2 linked regions of the Drosophila melanogaster genome follow. The gene in region 1 interacts genetically with each later gene. Each region holds a gene or a part of one and is shown in the gene's direction. Other genes may lie near its edges.

Region 1 (12,958 bases):
TTCGATTTGGATTCTTGCTTTAATATAATTTTTTCAGATATAAAGTTTTGTTTCTTCAAATTATATTTTTATGTATATATCACGTGTCTTAGCTTAGCACTATAAAATAAACACAAGTATAGCCACAGACTGTACGATATAGGACATTTTCAGATATTTGAAGAGTATGATAACTACCAAATTCATTTTCCTATCACACCTAATTTCATGAGAGCAAATACTTTTACGGAAAAAAAAATCCAGTTGCTAAATTTTTCATTTCGCCCAACAAGGATGTAAAAACACATGTTTGCAACACATTTGCCGCAGGATACTTTAATCCTATGGCACCGTGCCAATTTGTACAAGACAACATTTTACATACTATTCACTCTGCGAGTAACGTGTATAAATAGAAAATTACTATTTTACACATATGTATGTACATACATATAGAAAACCAATTAGTTGACTTATAATATTTAGTCTTGGTGCTACTTGAATAAATAAATAAATTCTTTGCTAAGCAAAGCAAATACTTACAGCAAATCGTGTAAGTTCCGCTCAATTCGTCGACGGGATGAGCTTAGTGAGCGGCGCCCTTTGGCCTCGACAAGGTCACGACTGAACCCAATCAAGCGCCGCCGTCCGAGCCGGGGTCGAGAGTCAAGCGACAAAAAAAAAAACAAACGATAAAAAAAAAATAAGCAATGACCAGAGGCGCTAACAAGTTTCAGGTGGCTCCAAAAGGTGAATTCTCCCGCTGGCTCGGCGCAATCACATTTTGCAGTTGTCAATAGAAGGCATGTACTTATAAATCTCTATATTTTACTATTTGCCTAGTTGGACAAACAGCAGCCGGGAGGGGAGCTGAATGCCACTTAAGTGCCATTATAAGACTACGATTTGCAATATAGACAAGTCATGATTACAGTTATCTTGACAACCGGTTTCGGGTTTCTATATTTTTTTGTATAGATATAAAAAAGGCAAGTCAAATACAAGCTACTGCTGCAGCATATTGAAATACTCAGTCAGGATCTTCTCCTCCTGGATAAGTGGCAAGTCCAGGTATTCCAGGTCGCTCAGTTTGAGGTCGGAGTTAAAGCGCTCGTAGGCCTTGTACGTTTCAATCTCGACGCGAGCATGATTGATAACAGCTTCGATAATGGGCGCTGGCAAAGCAACTTGCGTCTGCCCGGAGGCGTTCGAAGTAGAGGGGCCGTCAAGATTTTGCCCACCATTTTCGGCCAAACGCCCAACGTGCTTTAAAATCGCTTTCAGCTCCTCCTCGCTCTCTATGGCGCACATCAGACTCTCGATGGCCTCTTCCATGTTATTTGATGCATTCTGTAGGGCCACGCGCGAGTCGTTCTCGTTGAATCCCAGTTGCAGAAGCTGAGCCAGTTTGGTCGTGTCTACGGTGACCGGAAACCATGGCGAAGCACCAGTAAGTTCGTCCGATTCTGTCTGCAGCAGTTCCACCTAAGAAAAAAATATTTCTATTATTTTATAGTTTACAAACACGTGACATCCATGAGATTATAGTTAAAACATACTGATCAATTCATGTCATTGAATATATTCTTGGCCACACTTACCGCTTGGAGGATATCATTATTAGAGCGCTGCAAGGCGATAGTGGCCAGTCCGCTCTCGAATCCCATGTCAGCAAGGCTGCAGACACTGCGGGGATTCACCCAGGTGCAATCTTTGGAATTGGAGCGCTTCAGGCGGCGCTCCATAGCACGCTCGGACGCTTTATATTTCATGCGTGCATTCTTGAGCTGCTGACGACGCTCGTGAATAAACTGAACAGCCTGTTCGACGGCGGTGCCGCCCTTGCAGGAGCGCAGGGCCATACGAGCCTCGGAGGGCTCGAAGCCCATATCGACCAGGAGAGCCAGTTGGTCGTTGTTGATCTTTAGTTCATTTAGCAGAGTTTTAGCCGCTTCGAAGCACTCAAATGCCTGATTGCGAAGATTCTGGTGGAAGAAGATCACGCCCTGGAGCAACTTAAGCCGCATAATTAAAGCCCTCTCGGGACAGTCCTTGCCCTTCAAGGAGTACAGCCTCTCCAAATTGTCGCCATAGCTGATGCCGAAATTGCGACTGCAGCGGGCCAAGCGATGCTCAGCATCCGGGAGCTGGGTAACGTTCTTCAGGCAAAAATAGCACCACACTATGTCGAGGTTCAGCAAAGCATAGTTATCCACGGACTCTAGAAACTTTGAGCCACAGGTAGAAAAATGCTCGTCGGCCTCCAAAAGCAGGAGCAGAGCCTCCTCAAAATGCTTGCGATTCATGGCCGCACGGGCCTTCTCACAGAATCCCAAACCCATGAGCAGGGCTTTATGCTCGGAAGGCGGCAAATACACTTGGCTGCCATTCTGATCCTCCATCTGGGCATGACACGAAAATACAAACAAGTGGTGTGATTTAAAAAACCTTCTAAACAACAACCTAAGCAACTTTCCTTCCGATTTACTCACCTCTATTAGGTTATTCTTCGAGGACACCACCGCCTCCACATCGGCCTTGATGCGATTGATCCTTTCGTACAGGGCTTCGCCAGAATTATCCCCATCGCCCACAATGACAATCAACTGCTGGTTGTTCTTCAACTGCTGGTCGGCCAAAGTGGCATTGGCGGACACCACTTTGCCGGCAGCGATGCACTTGACGTGCGCAGCATTCGGCACTTCCAGTTTCTTCGCTATGCATGCCTGGAGTTCGGAGCCCACGATGTCCAAGCTGCACTTCACTTCCACCATTGTGGCACCGCTGTGCTCGCCAACGCGGCGAACCTTCAACGTGGCAATTCCTGTGGTGCTGAACTCACGTCGGGCGGCCAGCGTACGGAGAGCATTTTCCTGCAGCTCGGTCAAAAAGAACTTGCAGCGACCTATATCGATGCCCAACATGCCGGAGTACTTCTGCGCCAGGTTCTTTAATGAAATGGATACACATCTTATTATAGAATAAAATATTATATATTATATTAATCCAAAGCTACTGAGTTCCTGAGTATGAATGCTGGTAATGTGCTATTCTTTTGACTACTATTGGTCTTACTTTATTTTTAAAATCCCTCAACCTCTATTTATTGAAAAATAAATAATAATTCAAGAAAGCAATCACATTTTCACACGCCAACAAATCTATCGGTTTAAAATCTTATTTTTATTCTAGGCGTTATAAATAAGTCGAAGCGAAACAGATCAAAAACCTATATAAGGAAACTAAATAATATCTTTGTCGTTACTCTTGTAATTCAGAATTATTAAAGTATAATAGGAATTTAAAAGATTCGTTTGTGCAATGTCATGTTGTTTTTTTTTTAAGTATTTTTAATTGGACAATAATATCATATGATCAAACTAATCAAACTAAAATAAGTGTTAATAATATGAACTTAGCTGAAGGTGTATATAAGTTACGGCTTGTCGAAACTAGCTTCTTACTTCTTCAAATGTGAAAAGAACTAACAAATAAATATATAATATATATATATATATATATATATAATATATGCATTTTGAATATAATATTTCTATATTGCCAACCGTATTTCAGGCATTCTTGTCATTTCCCCGACCACTGACTGGAAGGCATTTAGGTGTGGGGTGGTGGGCATATAGTACGTACTTCTAGTGCTCCCTCGATGCTACCAAGATCTTCGGAGTAGTAGGGCTCCTCCCACAGCTTCTCGCCATCGGACTGGAGAAGGGCGCGGATCTGGATGAGTAGGTTGTCGTTTTGTGACATTTTCGACGATGACTTGGCAAAAATTGTGGCGAACTGGCTGAAACTGACGCGTCACAAAGGATCGGGCATGCTCTAGATATTTACTATTTACGAGTGATGTGATGTTCTGGTTCTTCTTCTTCCTTGCACATGTGTTTCTACACGAAACAACAAAGAACGATGCGCAGTCGTTGATAATCGCGGGGTTGGGTGCAGTGGAGTAGACTTTAATTTTGGGCGGGTGACAAATAAGAACTATTTACGGAAATTTATTTAATGTGAACTGTGCTGCGTCTTCGTATGGGATAAGCTCTGCCTGGTGGAATCACCGCAATTGGGTCTTTTTTGTCGTTTGACACAACAACTGCAACTCGATAGCTATCGGCTCTTGCAGCACTCGGCCATCTGTCAGCCACAGCGAAACGCTTGCAAAAGCTGACTGACATGAACGTTCTGCCCGTTAATAGTCAAAGTCTTCAAATTTGGTTTTTTATAAAAACGCATTGGCAAACACAGCTGTGCTTGTTGATTTATATTATATTATTTCTATACCATTTAACGCAAGAAACTCATATTTCAGTTTCACCGTCAGTACGGCTGATGCACTTACTACTTAGCAATCAGCTGTTTTGCGGACAATTATCTATCGATAGTCAACTGCCAACTTTAAAGCGGAACTGTTTTGAATTAAAATTCAAAATATTATTATTGTGAAAAATACACCAAATACACGCTTCCACAAGAAGTATTGCTGTTTTAATATGGGCTCGGCAGTAAATACTGCCGCCGTTATAAGTATTAGTGAGCAATTACTTATGATAAATAAGCTTTTGCTTAGAATACCATTTCATAGAACTCAGTTGTCATATATTTCACTTAATTTTTAGAGCACGCTTCACATAGGCAACACAGCTGACGCCTTTAGGAGGACCAACCCCCGACGATCGAGTTGACCTCCTCCCCAATTTCACTCAGTTCCCAGGTGGCAGGGCAGGCTCCGTCGCACCTGTCACATTTCGCTGTTGGTGGTGAGTGTCTTGCGCTCGTGCTCGTTTTACCTGGAAAGTTCAGTTACTCAAACGCGGCGCATGTAAGCGGCGGTCAGAGGTTCTATCCGAGCATACGCAGACCAACTCTCGATCCCATCCGAGCCTCGAGTTCCTTCAGGACGGCATGAAGGTTCGCCACGTGCCGGCGAGCACGACAACGTTATCGTTCAGGGCGAAGCAGCGGGATGTGGGCGGCATCGGCATGCCTTGCGAGCGGGAGCGGAAGCACGAGGCCGCAAAGCGGGAGCGGGAGGAGCAGATTAAGCAGGAGCGGGCCACAGCGGCGTCGGCGACACAGCGGGTGCGCCAGCATAATCGAAGGATCAGCACCGACGGCGATCCCGCCAGGCGGAGAATGACGCAGTCCAGGGAGCGACTCCAAGCAACCGGACTGGGCAGACCAGGACCGTGCGGACCATCAAATATAACTAGAGGTGGGCCTATTATTTTTATAATAATATTAATATTTTTATTATTATTATTATAAGTATTATTATTATTATAACTATTATTATTATTATTATAATAATTATTTTTATTATTAATATTATTATTATAACTATTTTTATTATTATTATTATAACTCTAAGAAACCAGCAATCTTTATACTCCGACGTACACAAATTTGTTCGAAAAATAATCTTTTCAAATTAAAATATTCAGTACAATAAACCTTTACGAACTTAATAGCGATTCATATTCACTGATAATCCCATTTTGTGTTCAGTAACGCGGGGATCATCATTGCCCCCGGAGGTTGGAGCACACGGATACCGCACAGGAAGGCCTACCAGAAAGCACGTACCTATTCCTCAGGATCAGATTGAGGAGCAGGATGACTCCGATGCCAGGGCGGAACGGCTGAGGCAACAGCTCGAGGAACTGGCCGCGATGTCGGAGCAGGAGTTCGAGGTGAAGTTCCGCCAGTGGCTGGACCAGGAGGGGATTGCCCGGGAGATGCACTCTCACCTGCGGGTGGAGCTCATTCACTGCTTCAATAATACGGCACTCGGTGGGTTTGCTAATCAAACTAATGAAAGATATTTTACTATTTGGCATCTCAAAGTTTATTGAAAACCCCCTTTTTAATTTATTAATCGATCTAACCATAAATGTACCCGTTCCAGGCCAGCTCTTGAGCAAGGCTGCTGGTGTGCAGATGGCTCAGTCCCACGCACTGCTCGTCTCGCCACTGGCGATGGTGCTGCACACTCTGGTGGCGGAGTTTCTGCACTCCCAGAACTGCCACTTCACACTGTCGGTCTTCTGCAGCGAGACGCCGCATCGCAGCAACCTGCCGGACTTCCGGAGTCGGCCGGAGTTCCGATTCCAGACGGAGGAACTGCAGAAGGTCGTGGCCGCCATACTGGGAGAAAAAGAAGCTCTAGCGGATTCGGAATTTGGAAAGCTGGCGGAGGCCCACTACGAGGAGGATCTGGCTGGACAAACGCAGTGCTTGCTGATGGCTCTTATGCGAACGCTGGTGGAGATCAGGAGGTCCGTGCCTAAGCAGGAGGTGGAACAACCGGTCCCTGTCTCTCTGCAAGACACCGGCTGTCAAACGGAGCCCTCTGCCTGCGTGGAAGCTCGTCCCGAGGTGGACACCACTGGTCTGTATCAGACGGAGGAGCACGAGCTGATTCTGGGCGCAGATGGCCGAAGTGTCTTTGTGGGCGGTCGTGTCTCGCAATCTCTGCATTCCGTGGAGCAGCAGCTTAATCAGCTGATTAAGAATCTCCGCCATTTGGCCAAGTCGTGTGCTCCGCCCGTTGAGGTGATATCATCGACAAAATTCGAGGATCTCCTAATGAAGGAGCTGCGCGAAAGGGAGCGACTTTTGAAAGCTGGTCAAGCATTTAACCCGGGCGAACCGGTGATCAAAATTGCCACCGGGGACAAGGAAGAGGAGCATGAGGTAACCAGTGGCAGGAACCAGAAAGATGTGGTTCACTCCAACCTGGGACCCATTCAAGTGCCAGCCCTGGATGTGACCATTCCTCAGCTGCCCCGTCTCCACAGTGAACAACTGGCCAGCCTGGCCGTGATCCGCCAGTCCCTCGAAAAGGTGCAGAAAAAGAGCCGGCAGCCGCAGGGCCGGATGTACGTCTCCATGGAGCGAATGGAGACCCTGATGGGGGATGTGTGCGGCTGTGTCCAACTACTTAGCAACGTTCTCAATCTCTCCATGGAGCAGGAGCACTCTGTGGGCATGCACAAGGGCTTCAAATGGGGCTACCGCGAGGGTTTTGCCCACGGCCACTTCATGGGCCTGCAGGAGGGTCAGAAACTGGAGCAGTTGGAACAGAAGAAGTGGCAAAAGGAAAGGCCACTGCCCGAGAAGCGGGAAAGCTCCGTGCAAACGGAGAGCACGATACCCACGGCGAGTATAGCCACCCAAACATCGAGAAAGTCAGCTCACAATGAAAGTGTCATCACCCAAACGGAGCAAAAGCAGCTAAAGGACGCTGGGAATCAGGCTAGTTGCGAGCCGCCAACCTTCCAAAAGTCCTACGAACAGTGGATCCACGAGATGCTGCACAGCTCCAGTGGCCAAGTGTTCCTCGAACGGGTGGAGCTCTCCTTGAACAAGGCGCTGGAGCTGCAAAAGGTGCGGCTAAATGAACTCTTCCAGGTGAAGTTGCGACACCAGGCCGAGATGCTTCGTCTAAGCAAGCGGCAGAACTCCTGGCGGGTAAGTCTCTCGAGAATTAAAACAACAATAAGCTGCAGCCATTATATTTATTCTGCAATCGTATTAACTTTAAACCTTTGATTACTAACTTTGTATTCGAATTCCAGACCCTGTGCAAGCGTGTGGAGCGGGACTCGCAATCGTCAGCGGAGGCGCGCGACCTCGTGCAGCAGATCTTCCGGCTGCTGGAGCACTACGAGGCACACCATCAGCAGCTGGCGGAGAAGATCCAACAGACGGAGCTTGCAGCGGAGCAGGCGGCTCGCATCATGCCCATGTGGGCGGATGGAGCTGCTGTGGGCTCCGCTTCTGTCAACTGGAACACGGCGATGTCTACCACGCTCATTTCCAGTGGGATCTGCACTCCGCCTCCGGCTCAGCCTGCCGCTGATGGTGCGCTGAATGTTGGTAAGACCCATGTGGAACAGCACACGTATCCTGACCTGGGATATCCCTATCAATTGTTGGCATTAGCTCCGCCAGGTGGAGTTCCAGTTGCAGGCACCTTCGTGCCAGTGACTCACCTTCCTGCCCACTTGCTTGGGGCTTCTGAACACCCTGTTCCTCTGGTCCCAGTTGCAAGGATCTACAGTGATCCTATGAAAACGTCAAGACGACTGCTTTCTCCGAGTAGCGTTCCTGCAGACAATGACAGTGCTCATCGCGCAGCCGGCGAAACCAATGCTTTCACATTCCAAGGAGGCCCCGTATCTGGGGATCTGCATCCAACTGAAAATAGAAACCAGTGAGTTTTTAAATTTACAAATCGTTTACTCCGTGTTAAGTCATATATGTGGGTTGTTTCTAGAGCTCCTGCTACTCAAGGACAACAGTTTCCTGTTCCTTTACCTGTTCCTGCTCCTCGGGGCCCTTCACCAAGTGTACAGAGTGTTTTGCCCTCCACTGCATCACCGGCACTTCCGCCGCCCGATGAAACGGTACCTCAACCAGGACCTTCCCAATCTTCTATTCCTTTGAAACCGTCAATGCACTCGGTGGCCACCAACACGATAACTCCAGTGCCTCCAAAGGCGACGCCTCTCAAACCGGTAAATAGCAAAGTTTCAGAAGGTCCGAGCTTTGAGGAGGCTCTACTAAGTGCCAAGTAAGTTTGTGAATTTCATGTACTTACGTATAGCATTCCTAAAATAATGTAACTTTCATTAGAAGCCGAATGCTGCAGTTGGAACAGGAGAGCGACCTATTGGAACAAAGTTTCCTCAGCTACCTGGAGAAAACCAAGTCGAAGACATCCCCCCACAAGTCATCGGAGGATGCCGCAAGGGCCCGGAGAATCCGCTCCAGCTGCCTGCGGGAACGAGAGCAGGTGCATCGCACTATGGACGGTTTCCGGGATTGGCATCGACGCGTTCGCAAGGAGGACGCAGCTAGTGTGGCTCAACTGGAGGAGCTGCGCAACCAGCGACTTATACCCGATCCCATCTTGGACTCAAAGGGGTCGTCACCGCTGTGGCTATCGGAACTGGAGGAGGGTCACGAACAGGACAGCTATCCCTTTACGAATGCCATCACCGAAGCTAGGAACAAGGTGCTGGACAAGATAATGCCAGTCAGAAAGGAGGAGAAGAAGGAGAAGCAAAACGTTAAGAAGAATTGGCTAGCAGATTTGCCATTTCAGATTCCTGAGGCATCTCCGAAACAGGATCGCCATCTGACCAATGTTAAGCCCGCTGTAACGCGAAGCAGCAGCAATGGTGAGATGAACGTGCTCCTCCAACGGGCCAAAGATGCCCTCGGCCTGAGAACACCAAACCCACTTCTGGATAGCAGCAGCAGCAGTTCCAGTATGGAGCTGCCCTCCATGGGTGCCGGCAGATCGCCCAGTACAAAGTTCCAGCAATCCATGGCCAGGATGCAGATGCTCTTTGGCGGCGCAGAGGCCGTAAAACCTACAATGCCCGCCAAAACAGGAAGACCTGTGAGTGCACCCACCGCAGCATCGGAACCGGGGTTGTGTGCACATTTGGTGCTCCCGAAACGCCCCCACACGGCTCCCACTCTTCACACAATCAACGAAAATGAACCAGCTGTTCATCATTTGGATGTCTCCACTTCCAGTTCTTCGCAAAGCACTTTGCCCGGGAGATCGTCGGGCGAAGCTTTCGAGGATTTGGTCATGAGCGCCGTGGCGGATGGAGCCCGGCGGCGGAATGCGGAATCTAGCACGGAGGTTTCGTACAGCCAGGCGTTCTGGAAACGCATAAACCTGTAAAAAAAATCTAGAATAGGTGCTTAATATGTTCAAACTGATTAAGTATATATCTATTTAGGTTCCAAAACTCTCTTTATAGAGCAACAAAATAGTAATAATACAATTAATAAAACTCATTGTTTTTTGGCCAAAATTGTGCGCATTTATTAATTTTTAAAGACCTATTTCGAATTTTACTACTCTTTTTTCACTTGTGTATGTATACTTTTGATAGATTTTGTGGGCCTGATTGTGCGCTTAGTTTATCAATTTTTTAAGACCTGCTGGGACCATCTATTATATATATTGTATATAATCATTAAATAGTTTATTTTTGCAATAGACATATACTTATTCTTTTGTCACCTTACTTCCGAAAAAAAATGCTAGCTCTTCGTTTCTTTGGCATTATTGATTACGAGTATGTGGTTGCGGGTATCTTAGACGGCGGTGCCATTGATGAGATCGTAGGGATCCCTCACCTGACCCATTCCAAATAGACTGGCATGGGATCGCCGTCGCTCCCGCTCGATCTCGTCCAGGTCGAATGCATCGCTCACAAAACTGGACCTACGCTGTTGATCGTCGAATGCGTAGCCGCGCTGGAATTTCGGTGGTCCGGAGACCGAAGCCGTTGTCCCAGGTGCTCCACTTCCGGATGTTGGAGCTGGGTAAATGGGCTGCGGATGCTGTTGATAGCCATTCGAGTAGTTCGACGGCGAGGAGGGAATCGCCGTGGGCCACTGCACTTGACTCTTGGGCGCCACCACCTGGGGCAGTGTCAACGTGGAGGACACGAAGCGATTCTGCTGCTGATTCAGCATCAGCTGGGAGAAACGCTGCTGACTGGAGCCCAATGGATAGCCCTGGGAAGCCAGCGAATCGGACGACTGTCGCAGAAAGCAGCGCGGCAAGGTGCGACTCTGGCCGAGATCAGCCGGCTGTGGCAGGGACATTCGCATGCCCGGATAGCCACCCGTTCCGGGGAAGCTGAGATCCGTGTGCAGGGACAGATTCGAGTTCAGTCTGCGCAGCGGCTGTCCCATGGAGTCCACGCACATGGACGTGCGACGCGGCACCACCAATTGGGCATGGTCTGGAAAGAAAGTATACTTTTCTATTAAACAGAAGTTTTAATAATCGTAATGAAATGATACTCGAATGAAAACAATCTATTGTAACAATCAAAAACTGCCCAGAATAAAACCTCACCTCCCACCACATAGAGATGTTCCTCCTCCATGCGGTTGAACTGCCTGAAACCGTGGTCATCGCCATCCGCGTCATCGTCGTCATCGCGATGCGGATCATCCGGAACTTCCTCCCGCTTGGCCTGATCCTCCTGCTCCTCCTCCTCCGCCTCATCCCCGCCACTGATGTAGTAGATGTTCTTTGGCTTGCTGCGCATACCAGCTCGCCGACAGAACTCCTGGAATAGCTCATCCTTGGTCTTCCGGAGGCCACGCTTCAGGCCACAAAGACGCGACTGATCTGCCATCTGCGAGTTGGAGGATGGGGGATTGTTGGAGATCTTCGTGTTCGTATTAGTGGCCATGTTCCGCTGCTGCTTTCGTTTCATTTGAGCGGAGGGCGGAGCTGGAGCCGAAGATGAAGCTGGATATATTTCCGTGGCCGTAGATACGGATCGGGTGAGTGGAAATTCCTGAGGCAAGTCGGCGAACAGGGCGGGGGCAGGTAATGGGTCGGCAGCGGAAGGGAGAAGGGGTGCGGGAACATGGGTGGAGGACACGGACGTATCCGTGCAAAGCTCATTCAACGACTTGGCGAAGCTGCGCGAGTGCAGATTACACTTGGACACAGCTGGCTTTTCGAAGTAAAAACTAAAACGAAAAGGTTAAATACAATAGCTTATGAATGGCATTCATCAATATACATACATACATATACATATGTATTTATTATACATTAAAAAAGAAAAGAACGTCTCTTCTTGTCTATCTATCTTATGGTACCTATTAAATACCTAGTCGAAGAGAGGAAGATAGTCAAAGCAAAAAAGCGATTTTTTGTAGCAAGCATAAATCGAATGATTTAGCATGTACATAGAAGGCGGCTCTTTCATACTGACGGACAGACGGATGGACACATGGACGAACATCGACACCATGTGGCATTCATGTGCAATCAAAAAAATAGTAGCTTTTGAATTCATTTTAGCTAAGTAACGGGTATCTGGTAGTCGAGGCAACCGACTATCGAGTTATCTCTTATTTTCATCATAACTTAACAGTAATTGTCCAAATTAAAATTCGCTAAACACCTAATTGCTTACCGCCTCTCCAGGTCATTATGCAGATAGAGATTTAAGTTCGATCCGGCATTCGGATGCTTGCGACATGCTCCTGGTAGTGTTTGCGTCTGTCCGGAATGGCCAATCTGTCCGGTCATTCCAGGGTGTCCTCGTCCCGCATCGTAGACCTGATGGAGTCGGGAATTGCCACTCCTCAGGATTCCATGTGGTGGCTGCGCCGTCGGATGCGGTTGGTGCGTCGGGTGGTGACTCTGGTGACCCTGTTGACCTTGACCCGCGCTACTAAGTCCTTCCTGGCTGGCTGTGGTGATGCCGGGCTGCTTGTACCGCTTGTAGGAATCACTCAACGGATGCTGGCCCTCCTTTAACTTGGCGTGGATGTTTGCCACACTAAAACAGGGCAAGCGCTGGAGGGAAATGTACGTATGGAAATAAAGTATGTGAAGAACACAGAGAGCGCAGCAGAAGATGCAGCTAATCCCGAAGGACGCATCCGGCGACGCTTGCATTTAAGTTGGTACGTTTCTGCAGTCAAGCGCGAGAATTACGAATCACGAGGTGGGCTATTCCTAAGGGGATTGTACCACCGGGTGCACCACCAACACAAATGCGACGACTGTCACAGATGCAACTTTAAAGTAATGCCATCGAAAAGTTGTTCAACAATTGCTTTTAACAACAAAAGTCATAATATAAAATGAAGTTAAAATAATAATGGCAATATATCCAAGCGTTATGAATTGTTTAAGACTAGCTCAGTTACTCACACTGTAGTAGCTAACCTCCTGCAAATTGATGAAGAGGAATATATTCAAGACCCCAACGAATTCCGTGACAATGAATCCAAAGACGAAGAGGAAGAAGCTCTGGCCATAGGAGACCTTGATGAGGGCTGGCTGAAGGGTGGACCGGGGTCTTAACTTCGATCCGATTTCCGCCTTCAGTATTGATATATAGGCAATCAATCCAATCAGCATCACTAGACCTACAGGATGATTACGCAATTT
Region 2 (11,550 bases), on another chromosome or scaffold:
TGGGTTTTGGCATGGACACCAGTGTCACATGGGCTTGATCGATCTGATCCGGCGGACAATTAGGTTTGCAGGCGAGCGCCAGTCCATTTTACTTGGACAAACCCCGGGTATTTGAGTGTGCCATCGATCTAATTGATATTTAAGCAAGTTTAGCTCTATCAGCAATCAGCCGGTATTTGTTTTGGGGGCCTTACAATAGACCCATAGACACTGGCTGACCCTGGAATGCTCACTGCCAGTGCCACTGCCAATGACTGGTATTGCGTAATTACGCATACGCCGTGTGAAACGATTGCAAACTGTTTGCTTGCGAAAGTGAGTTGGCAGAACGAAGCGCTTCGCTTTATTATTAACTAGATTGGCAAGCGATTGGGATGGTAGAAATGAAAAGTATTTACAACAGTATAAAGGTTTTTTTTTCCCAGTTTATTGATAAGTTTCTGAGGAAAGCCTGAAGTGAATTACAAAGTGTTCGCCGGATGCACTATCACATTTTAAATAATTGTCCTGATCCATGAATCATCTCTTTTCTTTCAGTGGAACCTAATCAATCATTCACAAAAAATGCTTATAGTGCACATATAGTTCAAGTTTTTAGCAGTAAATCGTTAAGGGTCTGCGATAAGATATTATTCCGCTACTAACCTCAAGTCAGTTTCAGCTAATCAAACAAAATTGCTGCAATTAGCCGGAGGTCCATTCGCTTTTCGTTTTTACTCGAAGCCCTCTTCTCTTTCACCTCGAATGATTATGCCTGTGAATTTGCATGATTGAATGCGAATGATTTAATTTCTGCTCTCCCAAATGTTTTATTAATTGGCTTTGTCTTCTTCTCTTTCACCGTTAGAGCGAACGACGGAAACGGAAAGTAAAAGCCCCGATCACGACCAGATTCAAAGGCAGACAGACATGGCCGAGACAATCAACAACAAGCCGAGCATACAGATCCGCAGCGGACTGCCCTCGCCTCTGCCGGACAAGAGTCCCTCGCCGGCCACCAAGCTGCTGATCAGCCACGGCAAGCCCAACTTCACCATCGCCAAGTCGCCGAAGATCGACGAGAACGGAAACGGAAACCCACTGTCCGCCCAGCCCAGCGCCAACAACAACTACAACGCCTACAAGAGCGCCAACAGCAGCGTGGCCAACAGCCAGAAGTTCATAGTGGGCACCAAGTTCAATGGGGTCTTCAAGCCATCGAATGCCGCGGCCACTTGGGCAACCAATGGAAGCACCAATGGCAATGGCACCGCGGAGTCGGAGAACGAGGTGGCCAAGGTCGTGCTGCGACGACCCAAGGTGGCGGACTCACCCCCACCCGCCGAGGGCGAGGACGAGAACGTGCCGGAGTTCATCAGGCGCCAGCGACTCATCCAGGAGCGTCTGGCCAAGGAGAACGTGCTGGACTTTGAGAGCCGGCGCAGCGGCTACTTCACGCACGTTATGATCTCGCCGGACTCGCCCAATCGCACCTCGTTCGTGGAGACCATGGCCAGTCCGGCCATTGTGCCCGCCCTCGAGATTCCCGCTCCCGTGGCCGAGAAGGTGGAGGAGGAGGAGAAGGTGGAGGTACAGCCTCAGGTGGCCGCTGTAACCACCTCTGCCCTGATCACTAAACCCGAACCAGAGGACCCTGTAAGCAATGGACACAGTGAGGAGCCAAAGAACTCTGACGTAGGACCCGAAGAAGTGGCCAAGGCCATTGAGCAAGTTAACCAGGCAGTGGCAGGAGAGGATGAGGCGGAGGTGGAAGCCACCCCTGAGCCAGTTCCAGAACCTACTCCAGAGCCAGTGGCAGCCGAACGAAAGGCGGAGGCCGTGGTAGAGGAGCCCACTCAAGCTCCCGCAGCCGTGGAAGCCAAGGTGGAGGTGGTGGAGCCAGCTGCTCCCGTGCAAAATGGCCAGAAGGAGGAGGAGAAGGCTGTTCCTGCCACCAATGGCCTTAAGGAAGAGGAGGCTGCTCCTGCCACCAATGGTCATAAGGAGGAGGCGGATGCCATTACCATTTCGCACACCAACGGACAGAGTAGCGATGGACCCAGCATACCCACTCCGGATCCCAGTGGCGCCCTGGGAGTGAACTACGAACCCAAGACCGTGGTCAGCTTCTCGCAGGAATTGGGCAGCGGGGAGAACAAGTATCCGGATACCGTGAAGGTGGTCAGCGAGGTGCCCGCCGAATCGAATGGCGAGCTCAAGGAGCTGACCAAGCTGAAGTTCGACATCCAGAGCGATGATCAGAACGAGGTCCAGGTGACGCCCGTACTGCGGGCGGAATAGAAGATCGGCGGATCAAGATGAGAAGTAGTGCAATTTGTTTGTTAAACAAGAAACCATCAACTATATTGTGTTGTATTTTGTGTTAGCTGCTAAGTTGATTACGAGAAATGTTGCCAAATTTAATTTTATGCTTCGCGCATCAGTCAGTATCGAGAATGGAGTCGGAGTCGGAGTTGGAGCTGGAGCTGGAGAGCCTAATCCCCCATAGAGCCACCCATGGAGGCCCGGTCCCCAAAGCGTCATTTCGGGACTAGCTAGACCAAACTACGTGTATTGCAATAGACACCATTTGCTTTATTTAAATAAATTATTAATTAATATTGAAACCGCGCGTCTTTCGGCTGGAATATTCCTCTCGCGGTCACTGGATGGTCTTCGATAAGGGTGCTCCACCACAAGTGTGTGTATTTACTGTCACGTAGAGTACCTTAACTTGTTCCACAAAGATAACACTATATTTGTTTGCCCCAGGCGAACGAATTGTCCCATGGGGGAATGTTGTCTTAGAACTCGAAGTGTCTTAAATGGCGCATTGAGTTGCGTATCGCTATATGGAAATCTAGATCTCTAGATCTCCAGGGCTTTGCCCGCCGAAGTCAGCCTTTGATTCATGGGGAATTACTATGTTCTTTGCTGGAATCTAAGATATGTTTACAATTAGTCAGAGTAATGCTCCCATAAGTCGGCACAGATAGCACCCCCGAAAATGCTAAGACCACGAGCTCAGTCAGTGAGTTTCTAGACGTGGTGAATGAAAACCGAAAGTGTTTGCCGATGTCTAGCATTGAACCCCGTGCGGTGACCTTCGCATCGATATGCTCCAGTCGCAATCAGTTGTTCTCCGTGATTAATTGTTTTGATTCCGCTGGTTTGCCCGTGTGCCATAGTCGGTGATTGATTGGGAGACACGAATAATAATAAAATAATAAACGAGTGGAGTCGGATGAAGTGGAGTGGAGAGGTGTGGATTGGGAACGGAGTGGTGAATCATGCAGAGGACGCGACACCTGTTCCGGCGATCGAGGGTGGGTCAGGTGGTTCAGGTAGCTCAGGTGGTTCACCACTAAGGTAACCATGTCAACTTCGACCCGCCTGTTTTTTCCGGGGGTTGCAGTGCTGACCAACATCTGGCCTGCTCCTGACCCTCGTGGCTAGCACATGCGTTTAATCGATATGAAAGTGGTGGCGGTTTTTCACGTTGGCCAAAACAAACTGGAGTTAGTCCGTTTCGAAAACCAGTAGGCTATGGCAGGGCATTCAGTTCGAAAACTATCTAAATGAGTGCTTAATTCTAAGCTATTATGGATTTATGTCTTAAGGGCTCTCAGGTAAGCTCAGAGCGACATGGTCTACCCCCTTTTGGATTAGGTACTAAGAGTGGTCAACCGCAGATAAACCTCGCCACACGACAGAAAACGAAGCCCAAGTACACCAGTCGTTCGCTGACGACGCTCCACAATCCGTGTCCCCATTTCCGGCCACGCTCGGCCAACTTCCTGCAGCAGCGCAGTCGCTCCTCGCCTTTCCTGGGACGACCTCAGTCGGCGGACCCCAAGTTCGGTCGTCGGTTGAGCAACTACTTTGTTGAGAAGGAGCTGCGCAACGGCGGCAAGGTGAGTGGGTTTAACACCCTGCGGTCATCGGTGTTGTAATATTACCTTTTTAGAGACAAGTCTCGTCGAACGACTTGCTGAAATCCCTGCTGGAGGAGCCCATCAAGCGCAGTTGGCTCTGCCGCAGCACCTGCAACTCCTCCGAGTCCGACTACTCGCTACACAAACGCACTCCCGACAGCAGCGAGGAGGGGGAGCAGTTCCTGGTCAACATGCCAGTTGGTGAGAAGGTAAAATCCTACTCCTCGTACTCTGGAAATCAGGGCCTCAGTAACGGGGCTCTTCTTCAGCGCACCGCCAAGCCAGATCTTCCGGGAAGGGTGTCCTTCAGCAAGCCGAATATGCACGCGGACTTGGACTCCAGTGACTGCGACAATGACAAGCAGGAAGTGCGTCCCAGCATCTCCGCTCCGGGTCCTCTAACTCTTCCCAGTTTCCTGAGCAAAGTGGAACAAGCCGATCCCGTTGGGCAGAAGAAGTCCGTGCATTTTGGATCCACTGCAGCCGAGGGAGAAGTTCTGGCGGAGACCTACGAGTATCCAAAGTGCCCTTCGGAGAACTGTACATGCAGCACGCGATCCTCTTCCACCACAAGCACCAATGAGGCATCGGCATCGGACGTTAAGTGTGCCTGTGATGCTCCAAGCTGCCGGTTTATGGAGTCCTCCAAGCAAGTGGAACCAACTAGTCCCACACCCACTCTCCCAAAGGCTCCGTCATCGGAGCTAGATGTTATAAGGGAGTATAAACAGGCTGTGGAAGGCGTTCAAGTGGTCAAGAACCACTTGGGAACTGACACCCTGAACAACATTGAGATACTACCCAACTATCTGGACAAGTACGCTTCTCCCACTAAGGAGAAACAGAACAATCTGTCCGAGACCAAGAACATGGCGACCAATAGTTCCGCTGTTAACAACGGTTCCGTCGTCTACAGACCCGTTGGCAACCCAAGAAACTTCGGGGCAGAGAATAACTTTTTGCCAGCAGTGCAGGATGATAGGAGATCCTTTGCGAATGGCAGCTCCGATGGCGTCATTAATAACTATCTAAAGGTGGCCTCGACACCACCGTTTGTGGGCAAGAAAAAGGAGAACGTAAAGCCCGCCAGTGCCGATCCAATTGCCAGGAGCAGCAAATCCAAGGTGACTAAGTCCACAATCAATCCAGCTCCGCTGGGTAAGATGAAGAAGGCCATCAGTGTGGGCAGCCTACGAGAGGAGCGGAAACTCTCAGAGTACAATCTCGACAAGGTGGACAGCTGGATGAGCATGCAGGACCAGAAGCAATACGATGGCAAGCACAAGCCAGGACTGGAGGACCTGGACGAGGCACAGGACAATGATACCGCCTCCCAGTTGTCCCTAAAGTCGAATGAGGACTCCAGGGACTCGACATATGATGAAATAGTATCTGTCATCAAAGAGATCGAAGAGGACAAGAAAAGGGGTTAGTTACTGGTTTGGATCTAGAAGGGAACGTTCCTCATATTTGATTTCCTTGACAGACAACTTCTCCGAGGGAATCCCCAGCGAACTGAACCTAAACCTAGATTCCCGCTGTGAGACGGCCGACACAGTGACTGTGAGTGAAGGTAAAGTTCCCGAAAGTGGAGATAAGTACAAGTAAGTAAATACAAATTACCACATTGGTATCCATCCAGTTATATACTATGGTATCCTAACAGGGACATCCTGGCCTACCTGAACAATGTGGAGAGTAGTTGCGACAAGACGTTGATGGAAACACGTCGTTCCATACCGGATAGCAATCGATCGGAGGTGGAGTTCGTGGTGGAGCCCGATGTCACCGATGAGGTGCCCAAGTGGGTGAAGAGTCATGGATTCCCTTGAAGTTCTTCACTTACTATCCTTACCCTTTAATTCAGGCTATCCGAGTTGCTGATGCTGCCCAACCATCAGCTTGCCAGAAGGGTCATTGCCCTGAGCTTGCGGGCCAACGAGTTGGCCAATGCCATCCATATGTCCAAGGAGCACGTCTTCCAGCTGCGTGGCGAAAAGCAGAAGAGCCTGCGGGCCGAAAAATCCACCGCCGCGGCCAAGCTGCGTGATCAGAAGAAGCACTATGAGGAAGTGGTTACCCGCCACCAGGGATTCATCGAGCAGCTGCTCAAGGACAAGGGCTCCCTCTGCGAGAAGGTGGCGGCCCTCACGCGTCGCTTGGAGAGCCAGAACCAGGCATGGGAGCACCGCTTGGAAACTGAGCTGGCTAGGACCAAGGAGACCACCATGGCGGGCGAAAAGATCCGGCGAGAGCGATGGGTGCGCGAGAACACCAAGAAAATTAAGGTATAGGTTAGCTTTAAGGATCTCGATTCTTGTTATCCTTTAAAGTTGCACATATAAAGAATGGCTTAGGAATATTCCATCATTGGATCAGTAATTAGTATCTTAGTTTAGTCAAAACTATTACTTATGATAGGGTCCAGAATATTAGTAGTTTTTTACATAGCATTATATTAATAATCACCAATTTACTTCATTTTAAAGGAACTTACTGTTAAGGGCCTGGAGGCGGAGATCAACAAAATGAACTGCGACCACCAACGCGAGGTGACCGAGCTGAAGCGCACCCACCAGATGCAGTTGCTGGACGCCTTGGAAGAGGCACGCACGAAGCACGAGCAGATCGAGACTAGCATTCGCGAGAGCTGCGCCCAAGATCGTGAGGCCATTATCGAGAAGGAGCGCACTGCCATCCGGGAGCGATTCGAGCGCCAACTGGAGGAGGAGCAGAGGACACAGGCGGAGCAGCGCCAGAAACTGACCGAGGAGTTTGCCGCAGAGCGTGATCGCCTGCAGTCAGAACTACGGCAGCGGGAGAATGAGCACCAAGCCCGAAGACAAGAGGCTTTGCGGGAACAGGAGCAAGAGCTGGAGCAGGCAAAGTTTGAAATGCAGGAGCGCATGGCCAAGCAGGAGGAGAAGTATCAGAACCGTGTCAACACCATCGAGCAGCAGTACCAGGCTGACTTTGAGCTGTGGAAGACGGAGCACGAAAACAAGACCAAGTTGGCCCAGGCGGAGAAGGAGAACGCCATAAGGCAACACTACCGGGCGGAGAGAGATCGTCAGCTAGACGAACTGGTGGTGCGGATGGAGGCCGACGCACTGCAGCACAAAGAGGAGCACGAGCTAAAGATGAAGTGAGTACATGCAGGCCAAATAATATGAGCCCCCCTCCTAAGCCCAATATTTTCAGTCGCCTCAAGGAGAAGTACGAGAAGGATTTAGTTCTGGCCGAGAGCGTCGAGAAGTCGTTGCGGGAAAAGTATGCCGAGACTCGCGGCAAGCTGGCGGAGGCGGACGCCCAGGTGCGGAACAGCCAGGCGGAGGTGAAACAGCTGCAGTTGGAGCTGAGCCACAGCAAAAAGATGTGCGGCGACATCATCATGGAGCGGGACAGACTGCGCGACAACCTTAACGCGGACATCCAGAGCGAGCTGGGAGTGCTAAACGAGCGCCACAAGCAGGAGATGGATCAGCTTCAGAAGCGCGTCCACCAGACCATTCAGCGGCAGGAGGAGACCATTGAGATCCTGAAGGGCGACAACGATGCCCTCAGGCAGCAGTGTCTGAAGCTCAACGCTGTCATACGACAGCAGCGCAAGGATTATTGTGTTAAATAGACAATTACTCGAAATAGGTGTATGGGACCTCCAAGCTAAATATTATTAGGAAGGTTTTTTAATAAATGAGTGACGAATGGCTTAAAAATGATTTTGAAAAATGTAAATGGACTTAAATAATTGTAACGGCTGTAAATGAAATCGATAAGCGTGCTATAAATAACCGATTCCTCTCAAAGCGGTGTGGTATTTTCAGCCACAATAGCTGAGGTAACACTACACGCGGGTCAACAAAAACAATACTTGTTCATTTTGAATGTTTTTATAATTGGAGGTTTTTATAATGGAATATGTGCAGGAAAATAGAGGATTTACCAATATCGGCAATAGCTTTGGCTTCGTATGCAGAGTAAGCAATTCATCCTACACATTAAATGAGTTCATTTTAATTGCCAGTCTTTTACGCAGATTATAGAAAAGCAATGCGGAATTCAACAATTGGGAGCTCTTGAAAAATACGAATTTGCCGAGCTACTGAAGATTCTGAATGGCACAGAAAAGGTGAGTAGATTGAAGAAGAGATATTCGTAATCACACCTATTCTGTGCAGTTTCTGGCCTCCAAGTTCTTCTGCCAACTGCCAGCGAATGTCGGCAGTTTTCGAGTTCTCCGACAGCTACAGGAACTTCGCATCCTGACGGCCACGCAGTACATCTTTAGGTGGGTTTCATAAAGAAGCTGCTAGATGTACGGACCCCCATTTATCCGTAACTGAATTCACAGCAAGGAGGACTCCGATCAACTGCAGGTGGACCTGATCATATTCCTGGAATCTGAGTTCGAACTTCTCGCAAATGTTTTCTTTTCAGCGGCTTACGGTTGGTTTCTCTTGATCTTGATTCTAGCTATTTCCCCATTTCTACTGATTTATACACCGTCAGATGCTGAATCTGCGTTGAAGCTAACCTTGATACTGACAAGCGCTTTGGGGAATCTCTATTCCGGCCTCGTTGGCAATCCCAAGATATGCAGCTTGGCATATGTGGAGTTCTTGTGCAAAACCCTGCCAGGTTTGTTTTTTACTGCACTGCATGATATGCAAGTAACTAAATTATTACCCATTCAGATGAAGCGCTAAATGTTTGCATGAACATGCATTTAAGTACCCTGTTGGATCTTCACCGATCGGAGAATGTAGACGAGGCATTCGCCAGCTTTAGCGCCTGGATAAATGAGGGCGTCGACGAACTAACCTTTGTAAAGCACCTTTGCGATAAGGTTATGTTCTCTTAAAACGAGCTATGTATCTTGTCCTAATTGAATTCTACTTGCAGATGTTTGCTAGCCATCAGCAGGCAGCCCTTCAATATCTATTCAAACAGTCAAACACGGAAAACTTTAATCAGTGGAAGTTCTATCTAATACTTGTGCAAACTATCGCAAGCGCAGCCAATCCTGAAACCACCGCATACATTAAAAGTATATTGATTTCTGTAGTATAATTGCTTTTTAGGAAAAGTGATCTTTTCCTTTGCAGAGTATCTGAAAAATAGACTTCTGCAAACTGCATCCACGGCTTCCCTGGGATCCTTGCTTCATTTGCTGCTGACTGCAAGGGCTGCTTGTGCCTCAACCATGGATGTTCGTGCTAATCTAGACAACTATGCGAAGTGGTACAAGCAGAACATTGGTGAAATGACGTACATATTGGGCACGGAAAAGTTTCAGACAATCCTAAGGCTCTTGGAGGAGTCTTTACCATACGAAAAAGAGTTGCAATACCTGGAGGTAATTAAAAATAGAAATAATTTGATGCAACTATACTTATTGAATAATTTCCTTCAGATTCATGTGTCAATTGCCATTTCACCTGGTGGGCGGCTGGTTCAGGCCTACAAAACTAAGTGCAGGGCTCATGCAGCTCAACTTAAATCGGTGGCAAAGCGAAAGGCTTCCACAGACTAGATGCAAGGTGGTGCTATTCAATAAATAAAATACTCAGGATACTCGCACTGAACACTGAAACTCATTAAAATGTATTATGCTCATGCTGTCCCAAAAACCATTTATTTGTCTGCAGTAAACTATAAGTTAGTAGGCTACAAGATCTCTTTCCTCTGCGGTTATGACGCATTTTGAGTTTCCATGTTTCATGCTAACACCATCGCATTCATCGGTTTTAGTACAGATGAATCTCCGGTGTTCGCGACACTTTGCCGATTCAAATTTGAAAAAGTCGTTTTGCTGTTTAACATAGACGCATCCTTCGTTGTTCACCAGCTTTGAATTGTGCGGCGAGTACTCAATGGACTTGTTGTTCGAAACGTATCTGTAGGTGGGCTTATCGTGTGCATTCAATCCAAACCAGTACTCGTGGTCGTCTTGGTTTATTTTGCTTTTCATCTGGAATAGGGTAACTTCGGTGTTTAGATCAGCCAAGCACATGTGGAGGCTTTTGCAGATGGTCAGGGCACTAAACCAAGAAGCCTATGGTATTGTAATTTTGAAATTTCCAATCTCAATGACTTAAGTTAAGTCTACTCACTGTTTTTTCACTGAAATACAGGCATATGCCCTTACCGTTTGCCTCATCAGCACGCAAAAGCAGCAGCAGCCAAATGGGAAGACAGTAAAGCATGCGTAGTATTTGACTCATTTCTTTCGGTTTGTTGTATTCACCAGTACTGATGGATTTCGAAAGTTGCTCGTTTTGGTATAGCTCACTAATGCCATTATACCATGGTGCAAACAATTAGGGTTTGTGGTAAATTACCTTTCCATATTATTTGATATACCTTAACCTAAGCAGGTACCACAATTTTTTGCTAAATTATAATTTATATATTAATTCCCCATTTTTTTTTTTTGCAAAATTTCAAATCTAACTGATTTTTTTCTTGACAAAAGTTGGCAGCACCGTATATGTCTAACCAGTGGTTCGGTTGTAGTACCCCGACTATCGCTCTCGAAATAGAGCGCCACCTAGCCGATAAGAGTGCAACCACTTTACATCCACCAAAGGCATTGCCAACTGTAAATTTTTAGACACTTGTGGACTATATTTCTTACGAGTGGCGCTCTTCTCTTAGTTTTTAGTTTGTGTGAAACGTAAACGTAATTTAGATCATTGAACGTTACGTTGAACGTACTGTGACTACGACTCCACACGAGTTTATACGTTTCTGTGCTCTCGACGCAGTCGGACGTTTAAAAATAAACGCGCTCCACCAAAAATACCTAGCCCGCTGGCCGCAAACGCAAATAAATCTGAACAAAAATTCGAATTCCATCCGGATCAAACAAACTTACAAACCCGAAAATTAGTTCTTCGACTCCAACGGCCGAGAAAACCGCAACAGTTTCAAAATGTTCAGCTCGATTTCAGGTAAAAAAGAAAAGCCCAGCCGCCAATCGAAGTTTATGTGAAAGTTTGGAAATTAGAAATCTTAGGTCTAAGCATGTGTACATATGTATGTATATATATGTACATATGATATACGAATGATATATGTATGTGTGCAGTGAGTGGGTTACCGCACTGGAGGAAGGAAGTCACTCGACTCCAACTACAACTCCAACTGCACTTCCAAGTTACATCATCATCACCAGAGCAGCGGTGGAGTCGGACAGTTGGAGCAGCTGGTGACCACGCGGGATTTGGATCCACGGTCGGGTGGGGTTGGCCAACCGGGCGTGTTCGATCCGATACGGGTCGCAGTAGCTAAAACCTAATTATCCGCTACCGCGACTCTGGTGATGGCAATGATGGTGATGACGACGATGTGGATGATACGTAAGCCAATTATGGCGCAGTTATATGTAGCTCCAAATGGACTACAAGTTGCCGTTCTCGCTGGCACATCCCACACCCAAAACGATGATACGTATATAATTATAGCTGCCCAGATACACACTACACACAACACGTATCCGAGGCATCCATATATACTTTGTATCTTCGAGCGGTTACGCTGCTGCTCTTTCCTTGGGGCTCTGGCACACTTATATGTTCCTGATGTTCGGGGAAGTGGGTGCAAAGAACCAGAGTTCCATCAGCCAGCTCCGCTT

Evidence for each region.
Region 2: of unc (region 1) and dila, changing one enhances a phenotype caused by changing the other (phenotypic enhancement), as found in Drosophila melanogaster (one study listed by BioGRID).

What each region holds. Positions count from the first base shown.
Region 1 is NC_004354.4:21,108,285-21,121,242, reverse strand, and holds unc (uncoordinated), read left to right. Parts: upstream 1-4,328; 5' UTR 4,329-4,527; intron 4,528-4,613; 5' UTR 4,614-4,899; coding exon 4,900-5,209; intron 5,210-5,502; coding exon 5,503-5,787; intron 5,788-5,902; coding exon 5,903-7,467; intron 7,468-7,574; coding exon 7,575-8,212; intron 8,213-8,275; coding exon 8,276-8,572; intron 8,573-8,634; coding exon 8,635-9,700; 3' UTR 9,701-9,829; downstream 9,830-12,958. Other genes in the region: CG15445 (uncharacterized protein), read right to left, coding at 985-1,464, 1,581-2,381, 2,472-2,927, 3,628-3,747; stg1 (stargazin-like protein), read right to left, coding at 10,120-10,775, 10,892-11,520, 11,973-12,358, 12,719-12,936.
Region 2 is NT_033778.4:9,819,157-9,830,706, reverse strand, and holds dila (dilatory), read left to right. Parts: upstream 1-3,500; 5' UTR 3,501-3,581; coding exon 3,582-3,893; intron 3,894-3,946; coding exon 3,947-5,342; intron 5,343-5,400; coding exon 5,401-5,518; intron 5,519-5,580; coding exon 5,581-5,718; intron 5,719-5,781; coding exon 5,782-6,202; intron 6,203-6,403; coding exon 6,404-7,059; intron 7,060-7,115; coding exon 7,116-7,542; 3' UTR 7,543-7,625; downstream 7,626-11,550. Other genes in the region: hebe, read left to right, coding at 910-2,280; CG30001 (uncharacterized protein), read left to right, coding at 7,826-7,891, 7,951-8,043, 8,093-8,202, 8,266-8,360, 8,424-8,552, 8,609-8,760, 8,817-8,961, 9,020-9,270 and 1 more; CG34033 (uncharacterized protein), read right to left, coding at 9,574-9,969, 10,028-10,138. UniProt on the Drosophila melanogaster protein: Cilium-specific protein with a role in cilium/flagellum formation. May be involved in transport of components into the growing cilium.